3 linked regions of the Solanum lycopersicum genome follow. The protein of the gene in region 2 interacts with the protein of the main gene of each other region in a pairwise test. Links are inferred from orthologs where the notes say so. Each region holds a gene or a part of one and is shown on either strand. Other genes may lie near its edges. The genes, in order: abscisic acid receptor PYL2-like, TCP21 and abscisic acid receptor PYL3.

What was found.
Region 1: the proteins of TCP21 (region 2) and abscisic acid receptor PYL2-like interact in binary tests that used the Arabidopsis thaliana proteins (3 or more experiments, as listed by UniProt). The link is inferred for Solanum lycopersicum from reciprocal best matches to the Arabidopsis thaliana genes AT5G51910 and PYL2.
Region 3: the proteins of TCP21 (region 2) and abscisic acid receptor PYL3 interact in binary tests that used the Arabidopsis thaliana proteins (3 or more experiments, as listed by UniProt). The link is inferred for Solanum lycopersicum from reciprocal best matches to the Arabidopsis thaliana genes AT5G51910 and RCAR1.

What each region holds. Positions count from the first base shown.
Region 1 is NC_090811.1:67,277,299-67,280,699, reverse strand, and holds abscisic acid receptor PYL2-like, read left to right. Parts: upstream 1-1,247; 5' UTR 1,248-1,422; coding exon 1,423-1,654; intron 1,655-2,286; coding exon 2,287-2,627; 3' UTR 2,628-2,868; downstream 2,869-3,401. UniProt on the Arabidopsis thaliana protein: Receptor for abscisic acid (ABA) required for ABA-mediated responses such as stomatal closure and germination inhibition. Inhibits the activity of group-A protein phosphatases type 2C (PP2Cs) when activated by ABA. Can be activated by both (-)-ABA and (+)-ABA.
Region 2 is NC_090802.1:2,189,766-2,192,951, forward strand, and holds TCP21 (TCP transcription factor 21), read left to right. Parts: upstream 1-1,392; 5' UTR 1,393-1,433; coding exon 1,434-2,414; 3' UTR 2,415-2,582; downstream 2,583-3,186.
Region 3 is NC_090807.1:67,225,174-67,228,937, reverse strand, and holds the start of abscisic acid receptor PYL3, read left to right. Parts: upstream 1-1,112; 5' UTR 1,113-1,512; coding exon 1,513-1,647; intron 1,648-2,637; coding exon 2,638-2,853; intron 2,854-3,176; coding exon 3,177-3,395; 3' UTR 3,396-3,764. UniProt on the Arabidopsis thaliana protein: Receptor for abscisic acid (ABA) required for ABA-mediated responses such as stomatal closure and germination inhibition.

The sequences.
Region 1 (3,401 bases), on a different chromosome or scaffold from region 2:
GGCTAACTACGATGGAATAGAGCCATTCTGAGTAGAACCCCTTCTTACGATATGTCAGAGCGGGATCAGTCATGTAATAGCCCCCAGCCCTTTCCTTACGATGATTCATGCCTTGCTCGTGCCGTAAGAATGTCGTATGCAAATGAATTCACTTTTGGTATAGAATAAATGGGCGAAAGCCCGATGCAGCAACTTGCGAGGGGTTGTGCTTTGCTACTTGCTTAGGTTTCCATCTATTGTATTTATCTAAATGGGAATGAATTCGTCCGGCGGGTCTATCTAAGAGGGCAAAGCGGTGAGCGTGAGAATAATTTTTGATTTTCGATGTTTATATTAAAATATAGTTAAATTTAGTAATAGAAAAGTGTGTAGTACAATTATAATTATGTGCATATATATAATTATGTGTAGTTCTAACCTATATATATCTTTTATTGATGAAAATATTACTCGTCCATTTTGATTCGTTCAAATTTAACCTACCTAGCTAATTTGACACCCCTAACATCATAGTGTCACATATGTCTCCGAGCCAAGTCCTAACCTAGAGCATTAGTTGATCTGCGTGATGAGATAAGCAAGAATATTTCATGAGATTATTTTATCTCACCTTCTTTATGAGACAATAAAATCGCTATTTCACTACAAATAATGTGATAAACAATCACAAAATTAACTAATATCTCCAATTAAATATGAAATAAAATTATTTTTTTTCAAAATTATTATTCTTTATCTCACGTATCAAACGACCGTCCAATAAAAAAAGTTGTGGGTAGGGTTGAATGCTGCAAAGTTGAGTTTTGATCACGCGAATGTGTTAAACTTTGTCACATGATCCTCGAATATACAGCTTTGCTATGTTTTTTTTTTTTTTTTCGATATTTGATATTTATTTTATATCTTAATTTAATGTAAATTTACGTCATATATATAAAAACTCGATTATAATTTAAAGAAATGTTCTTTACCAACAAATTATATCCAATCCTAGTATGAACTCGGAGTTTTTAATTAAAAATTTAAAAACGAGTTAATTTCTTAAATAGTTACTCGATAACAATTAATATCTCCGAAAGTTATTAAACTTTGTTTTATGACATAAAAATCAAAAATCACTCAATTAATGTTAATTATCTCATAAAGTCGATTAATTATTATTATTTCACATATAAAATTATATGCTTCATGCACGGAACTGCCTACGAAACTCTAATAAATAAAGCTAAACAACCCATGCCACATGTATTTTCCCTCTCATCATAAAAAGGAACCCTATAACTTCTCTTCCTATCTCCCAAAGACCAAAAGAAGGATAAAACAATTTGCCATTTTTTTCTCCATTTTCAATCAATCAAATTTGTGAATTTTTTTTCTCTTCGAGAACACTCGTATCGTCGATTCTTCAACCCCGTTCCTTAAATGGATGGTGATAGACAATTATTAGTTCCGCAAGGGCTAACACAAGAAGAATTTGTTGAGTTGGAACCATTGATTCGAAATTATCATACTTTTGAGGATTTACCAAATACTTGTACTTCTCTTGTGACGCAACGCATAGACGCGCCCGTCGATGTCGTATGGCCATTCATCCGTCGTTTTGATAATCCCGAGAAGTATAAGCACTTCATCAAAAGTTGCAGGATCGTATCAGGTATGTAACTATTTCATCTAAAAGTTTAAATTGACGTTATAACACATATATTATTATAAGTGATTATTTTGTTACATATACTATACTTCAAATTTACCTTTCACCTATAGACAAGCGAGACTTATTCTAGTGGTTAAAGTAAATATTATTAATCTTCTCGATGAAAAAAATCTCTATGTATGAAGATCATTCATTTTCCTGGTTCAAATCAAATACAAATAAAATTTGTCCAAAAATATTATAGTGATAATACATATACTTAAATTATCTTTTATTTATAATGTCAAAAATTCGTTTTTTATATGTTTAATCATCATAACATCTCTCATCAACCAAAGTTGCATTTTTATACAATAATTGAAATATTGTATAAGTAATTGATCCTTCTTAAAAAAAAAAAAAAAGTGGCGAAGTCACATGTACTTAACTTACATTACGTAGCTAAGTATGTTATATATATATATATATATATATATATATATGTTGACATCGGTCTTTTTGATTTCTTCGTGAATTTATTTCTGTTTGTGTATATACATTTTATCATTTAAAGTAAAATATTAGACCAACTATTTTTTTGTTATATTTTGACGTTTGTTTAGTGAAAATTCTGACTCGATCACTCGATACAGGTGATGGCGGAGTTGGTAGCATAAGAGAAGTAACAGTTGTGTCAGGAATACCTGCATCAACAAGTACAGAACGTCTAGAGATATTAGATGATGAAAAACATATTTTAAGTTTTCGAGTTGTTGGAGGTGAACATAGATTGACAAATTATAAATCAGTAACATCAGTAAATGAATTTAAAAAAAATGGAAAAATTTATACTATAGTTTTGGAATCATATATTGTTGATATTCCAGAAGGGAATACTGGTGAAGATACAAAAATGTTTACTGATACTGTTGTGAAATTGAATCTACAAAAACTTGCTTTAGTGGCAATGTCTACTATGCATGGTCACGAATAATTAATCGCGATAACAAAAGGATTCAGGGTTTAAATTTGATTGTTTTGTTATTTTCTTTTACTAATAAGTATGGTGTTTGGGGCGAAATGTGCTTCCTTTCATCAGAATAGGTATCGAATAAGATTTGATAATTTTTATGTATTGTAACAGTTACGTAATTGTGGATTTGATTTTTTGAAATGTTTGTTGTATTTTTGTAATTCTTGAAATATATACATATATCTATGGTTTATTTGTGAAATATATATACGTTTGTATTCGATTCAAAATTCTTTAACGATATTGACAACATCTCTTATATTTTATATTTTATGAATATGATTTATGTATAGTTTACTTTTTCCAAATTTTTCTTACGAAATATTACTGAATATATTAATATCGTTACTTTTTACCGCAAAGAAAAAAAAAATAACTTTATGTGAATGAAAAGCTGGCAAGATACCTTATAAATGGTTTGTGTATACTCCAACCTTAAAGGGGGGAAATTATTGTTGAACTACTCTACTACTTTTTTAATAAATGTGAGGGGGAAAAAAGGAGAGAAATAAATTTTTAAAAATATACAAAAATAAATAAATAAAGATAAATATTAGTGTTGTTACCATTGAGAAACTTGTGACTTACACCTTACAACATGTGATATTAAAATTTGCTTTATTACTCACTTATTTTCTTTTAATTTTTACCTTGTTTGAAATTTGACTAAAAAAAATAATTTTAAAATATATATGTATACATATGTGACTAGAAGAAAGCAATTTGAATATATAC
Region 2 (3,186 bases):
TTACTTTATTTTGATTCTTTTAACATTTATATCGTCATTAAAAAAAATAGTAAGAAATATAATTGCAAAAGAAGATGGTTTTGAAGTGTCTAATTGCGTTCTTTAAAGAGATATTCCTCATGTAAATAGTGGGTTAAGTATAAATAATTCCATACAACAAATCGTTTTGTTTATTACGGAGATCTTTTTTAGTTTACTTCCCGAAATGCTTTATATTAATAAAATTTCAGAGGTGACTCTTCCTAAAAGTTATATTCTTTAATGAACAAATAATTTTTTATAAATATCATGTAATAATTTTTTATAACACTCAATCATAATTTTTTATTTTTCATGTGTTTGTTTCTATTAATAATTATGTGGGAAAATCGGGCAGAATAAAAGGAAAGAAATCCAAAGAGCAAGAGAACCTAGCAAAGAAAATAACAATTGATAGATTTAGATTTTATTCGTCATGTGAAGCCCATTATTGAACTTCACACTATTTTTTTTCACAATTTAGGGTTAAATTATCAAAATAAATATCTTTAATTATTATATTATAAATTATTTCACCTAAAAAATATCAGGCATCAAAATAAAATAACATCAATATATTAAGCTCTAGTTTGATCTTTGTCTTGTCAAACTTTTTACCTAACATAATTTTCTTAGAGTTCTAATTAAATTTAGTTGGCGTTTTGGCCATGTGATATAGTATCGTGAGATGAAATCAGCATTTAGACATATGATTTTATGCTGATTACATCTCGTGATTTCATATAATGAGATTTGATATCATATTCTTCAAAAATCATGGTATAGAATCATATGAGAATACAATATCATGATTTGAGTTATTTAAATACAAAAATTAATTCACGAATTTATATTTTGTTCAAACAACCCCACATTTCTATATACTAACTATTATTTCACATTTAAATAAAATTTATAATCACGTCATAACGTTTTAAAATTTATTAATTTCACTGACATAAAAAAATTTAATTCTCATCAACATAAGTCACTTTAACTCACACTTCACCAATATAATTTCACGTCATGTTTCATTTTAACTCAAATATATTGATGAAACAATTAATTAAGTGAAGAACAAATAGTTTTGCAATAATTTATTATACAATTTTATGATTTTTATTTATTTAATAATATAAAATAAATAATTAAAGCTATTTTAACAATTTTAGAATTTATGAGATTCTTATATTTATATTAAAAAAAAATACACAACATTAAAATTCTATATCATATGTCCAAATAAAATTTTTAATTTCGTCGCGTAATTCTATATTAATTTCTCCTTGTGTCAATTTTCATTAAGTACACAGTGGGGTACTGTAGTTATTTCAATCCTCCTTTTTTATTTTTTTAAGCTCTAAATTTTTTTGGGTTTCAGCTATTTGCAGCTGTGTTTGGGATTTTTCTGAAAAATGGCGAGGGTTGAGAACAACCAAAACATTGAACAAGAAGATGACGAGGTGAACGACTGTAAGATTGATCCGTTACTTGGTGATTCTCATGAATACACCATTGCAGCGGTAGGGAATGTCACCGATGCGGAAGGGGTGGATCCGTCTCCGGCGGCGTCCACTGATAGGGTGCTGTTGTTAAAGGAAGAACCGGAGGAGAATGATTTGCGAGTTTCTACGTCGGTTGGGATGAATATGCAATTGCAGAAGGTAGAGAAACAACCGGTGAAAAGATCCTCAAAGGACCGGCACACGAAAGTGGAAGGCCGTGGTCGGAGAATCCGTATGCCGGCGGCTTGTGCTGCTAGAATCTTCCAATTAACGCGGGAACTAGGTCATAAATCGGAAGGTGAAACTATAAGATGGCTTCTAGAACGCGCCGAGCCAGCCATCATTGCCGCTACTGGAACGGGTACGGTTCCGGCCATCGCGGTATCAGTAAACGGAACGCTGAAAATACCGACGTCAAACAACGAGGGAGAAAGCTCGAGGAAGAGAAGGAAAAGGGCTGCAAATAGCGAGTTTTATGAGGCGTCAAATTTTGCACCGGTGGCTCCCATTGCCCCACAAGGTCTTGTTCCTGTTTGGCCAGTGGGCTCTGGGAATGGACTTATTCCCACCACAGCATTTACCGGTGGGGCAACTTTCTATATGCTACCGCCAGGCACTAATACAACAGTTGCTGCTACTGGGGCTCAGTTGTGGGCCACTCCAATACTTAATGTACCTTATGCAGCAACAGGGGTCTCTGCTGCTTGTGTGTCAAAAAGTGATAACAATGGAGGCAAGTTAAGCACAGTTGCTTCAGCTATGCCTCCAAGTTCTAGTTCTACACAGATGCTTAGAGATTTCTCACTGGAGATTTATGACAAGAGAGAGCTTCAGTTTATGGTTGGTTCTGGTTCCAGTGAAATTGATCAAACTTCCTCATCTAAATCCTGATTAGGGTTCTAAGACCCATTAATTTATCTTTTTTTGTTAATCTCTTCTGGATAAGCATCTAGTTTTTTCAAAAGATTATTTTAACATTTTGCTTGTAAGCATCTAGGAAAGGAAGTTGCTCTGCTGTGACATGGGTTCGTCAATGTTAAATGTCAACTTGCTGTTTTCTTAGTTTTGGGGCACTCAACTTTTTCTTTGCATTATAGTGCTTGTTAATGTGCTCTATCCATTAGTAGTTTTTTCTTAAAAAAAAAGTAAATTTTGTACTAACATAAACTCGATCCTTTAGAAAATGTTTGTCATGTTCAATTTGACTAATTTTTTGATCATATTAATTCGATATTTTAAATAAAAAAATTAGATATTCTAAAACTATATGAAAAGTACTATAAATTATAATTTTTTACATATTAATATGATGAAAAAATGTGTTAGTCAAAGTTTTTATAGTTTGACTCTAAAAATAGAAATCATGACAAACAATATCGGAAGAGAAAGTAATATATAATATATATTTTCAATAAATAAAGAATACATATAAGCTATTTTTGTAACTGTGTATGTACTGTGGTTCTTATCTTTGGGTCCATTTGGCCCGTGCACTTGGATTACTTCATAAATTACATGTGACTTTAGAGTAGGGCCCACTAAAGATGGATAGAGGGGTGTGGGTCAATGAATACTAGTCAATACAAAAATTTAATTTTTTTTTTAAAATATGGTTTTTTAATTCAAAGGCTATGATTATTAATTAAATTCTCTTGATAAATAA
Region 3 (3,764 bases), on a different chromosome or scaffold from region 2:
GGTTTCACCCTAAAAAAAGAGTGAAGTATGTATTTGAGGAGATAATAATTCAATTTTAAAATATTTTTATTATTTATTAAAATAATATTTAATTTGATCTGAATATAATTAAAGTTGATTGTCTAATAAAAATATTTATCTCTAAATGAAAATTTTTAATTTCACTTTAAAGTATTTAAATTCATCGAATATCGAAGAACAAACAGATCATTGTATTAATAAGTGTAGGCTAACGACTTATCCGATTGGAATGAAGAAAATGATTGACTAGAATCCAAATGTTAACAGGATAAAATGTTTTGATAATGCATCTATTTTATTTTATGAGATATATTTCTTCTATACTTAGAATAATTTAATTTTGAATTCTTTACTTTAATTTATTCTGACATAATTTTATAATGGAATCATGCAAATATCATAAATGTTTTGAATTATATAAATTGCAAGAATTTTATTCCTTTTGTTTTACACTGAAATTATATGGTAGATAATCCTAACGATAATCCCAGTAATCATAATAATTTGATTTCGAACCAAACTATACAATTCATTCGTCTTTTTTAAAGTTCGTTTTAGAAAAAAATATATTTTTAATTCTTTTTTCATATGATATATAATTAAAATCAATAAGATTAAATAACATGATATTTTTTTCTTTTTTTTTTGAATTCTTTGAATAATCGGAAGTTGCTATAATTTCTGTCATTTCTATCCGACAGACTCGACTCAAAAGTGTTGAGTGAGGATCAATCCCGAGTCATCCGCGTGAATAACCACCTTCAAAATCAACTAATCATCTCGAATGACATATGAAATGTAAATCGTACTAGATAAATTCTATGTGACAAAATCAACTCAGAAAATATTGAGGGAGATCAATCTCGAATTATCCGTAGGGATAACCACCCTCAAAATCATCTGAGTCATTCCAAAGGACATATATTTTTAGTTTATAGACATAAAATTAATTTTTTTTTTCACTTTTTAAAATTTATGTCAATTCAAATAAAATAAATAAATTAAAATAAAAGAAAAAACAAATAATCAAGATACTTTAAAGCCGACAAGGGCACAATATTATTAATAAAGATTTTAACCAATTACTTATCTTATAACATCAAATATATTATTCTAAAATAACATTATCAATTTCTACTTTTGTAAAAAGTAGTTTTCTCCATTTTAGATCAAAATGTTAATTAAATTTAGAAACTTAATACCTACCCCCCACCACCAAAAACCCCACTTGCACAAATTATCTTAATTATTTAAATTACAAAAAAATAATAACAATAATGGAGGTTTATAGATGTGGACGAGAAAATAAAAATATATATAAAAAAATAAAATAACCCATCAAATTTAAACCACTCAAAAAATTATTTCGAGGTTCTAATGGCGGTGTCTTTTGGCTTTTTCTAAATTAATTTTTCTCATTTTCCACCCTTTTTTTTTCCAGATTTATTCGCCGTCGACGAGGTTGTCGGTGCCGTTGTTTTTTCTCCGGCGATGGTCAGCATCATGAACGTTGATAGAAAAATTAGTAGTGAAGATGAGTATATTAGGAGACATCATAGACATGATGTTAGAGATAATCAGTGTAGTTCATCACTTGTAAAGCATATTAAAGCTCCTGTTCATCTTGTAAGTAACCCCAATTAAGATTCTTGAAAAAAAGTTTGAATTTTTATGTTTATTTTCATTTGTTAAGCATATTAGAGCTCTTGTTGATGTTGTAAGTTGCCCCAAGTTAGATTCTTAATCAAAAAAGGCGGAATTTTTATGTTTATTTTCATTTGTTGAGCATAATATAGCCCCTGTTGAGGTTGTAGGTAGCCCCTATTCAGTGTATTGAAGAAAAAAGATTGGATATTTATGTTTATTTTGAGATAATTGATGCAACTTCTCACTTGTTAAGCATATTGGAGCTCTTGGTGATGTTGTAAGTTGCCCCAAGTTAGATTCTTGAAAAAAAAATGACTGAATGTTTGTGTTTATTTTCATTTGTTAAGCATATCAGAGGCCTTGTTGAGGTTGTAGGTAGCCCTTATTCAGTGTATTGAAAAAAAAGATTGGAATTTTATGTATATTTTGAGATAATTGATGCAATTTCTCACTTGTTAAGCATATTGGAGCTCTTGGTGATGATGTAAGTTGCCCCAAGTTAGATTCTTGGAAAAAACAATCTTTATAGTGTTTTCCGATAACATAGATTATGGATTTTAGTTTTCACAATAGCTGTGGATTTGAGAGAAAAGAGGGGTTGGTTACTGAAAAGAGAGCTCCGTCTTTATCTGTTGAGGAAGCTAGTTGCAGAGATGCCTTGAACTTTTCTTTGGACAATGTATTTTAAGCTGTTTATGAAAGAGAAAAAAAGCAGTGAGTTTGAAACTATTCAAGACGTTTGATTGTTTTATTACTTCATTTCATTGATGTTCTTCGAACTGTTCAGGCTTGTCAATTGATCACTGGAAAAGATTGAAGTAAGTAGACTATTTTGGATTTCTATGGTTTACATGTATTGTATCTAAAGACGGAAAATGGATGTACCATGTATGTTTTTTTGTTTTGAGAAAGGTAACATATTTATGTTTTCTTCACTGGGTACTTACTGGGTTTTGGTATATTTGATAGGTTTGGTCATTAGTGAGGAGGTTTGATCAACCACAAAGGTACAAACCATTTGTTAGCAGGTGCATCGTGCAAGGGGACCTTGAAATCGGAAGTGTTAGGGAAGTGAATGTTAAGTCCGGACTCCCAGCTACCACAAGCAAGGAGAGGTTAGAGCTTCTAGATGATGACGAGCACATTTTTGGTGTAAAGATCGTAGGTGGAGATCACAGGCTTAGGGTATGAGTCTTTTATCTCATCGTTTGATATGTATTGAATATATCCATAACTTTTCCCTCGTAGAATCAACCATGAAGCGTGAAGTATCAACAAGTGACCTATATAGTCAAGTTATTGCTCTATTTATTCATGAAGTCTTTCTTGTGATCTTTTTATTTTATTTCCCTCTTTTTGTGTGTATTTGGGTTTGGGGGGTTGGGGGTATTTTGTTGGTTGTTCACTTTGGATTCTTAGGCTCGTCACCATATGTTCTGTTATTATCCCGGGAAGGAAAAACAAGAGATGATGGTGACTGTCTTAATTTTTCTTCACATTACTTGCAGAACTACTCATCAATTATCACTGTTCACCCGAAGGTCATTGACGGAAGGCCTGGAACAATGGTAGTCGAGTCATTCGTGGTGGATGTACCAGATGGGAATACTAAGGATGAAACTTGTTACTTTGTCGAGGCCCTCATCCGGTGTAACCTCAAATCACTAGCTGATGTATCCGAGCGCTTAGCTGTGCAGGGCCATATGGAGCCTATCGACAGAATGTAGGTTAACAGCTTCATCATTTTGCCAAGCGTGCAAGGATTTGATTAGAAAGCGAGTAAGAGTGACTGGTACTTATGCCGGTCCTTCTCGATCTCAGAAGTATATATATCTTTATCTATATATACATATATATATGTTCATGCTTCCTCTTCATCATCTGTAAGGTCATCGCGGTTTGTAAAATGCAATCAGTCTATTTCATAATGTGAAGAACCAGCCATGCTGTTTGTGGCTGTGCGTGAATTGAGCTTGGGTTGTAAACATCTATGCTCATTAAGGTGCTGTTTCTTGTTATAGGATCATTGTTGTGTGGTTATGACACGCTATACGCTCGTGTATCTTTTGATTTTGGTGTGTCAATATGTACCAGAA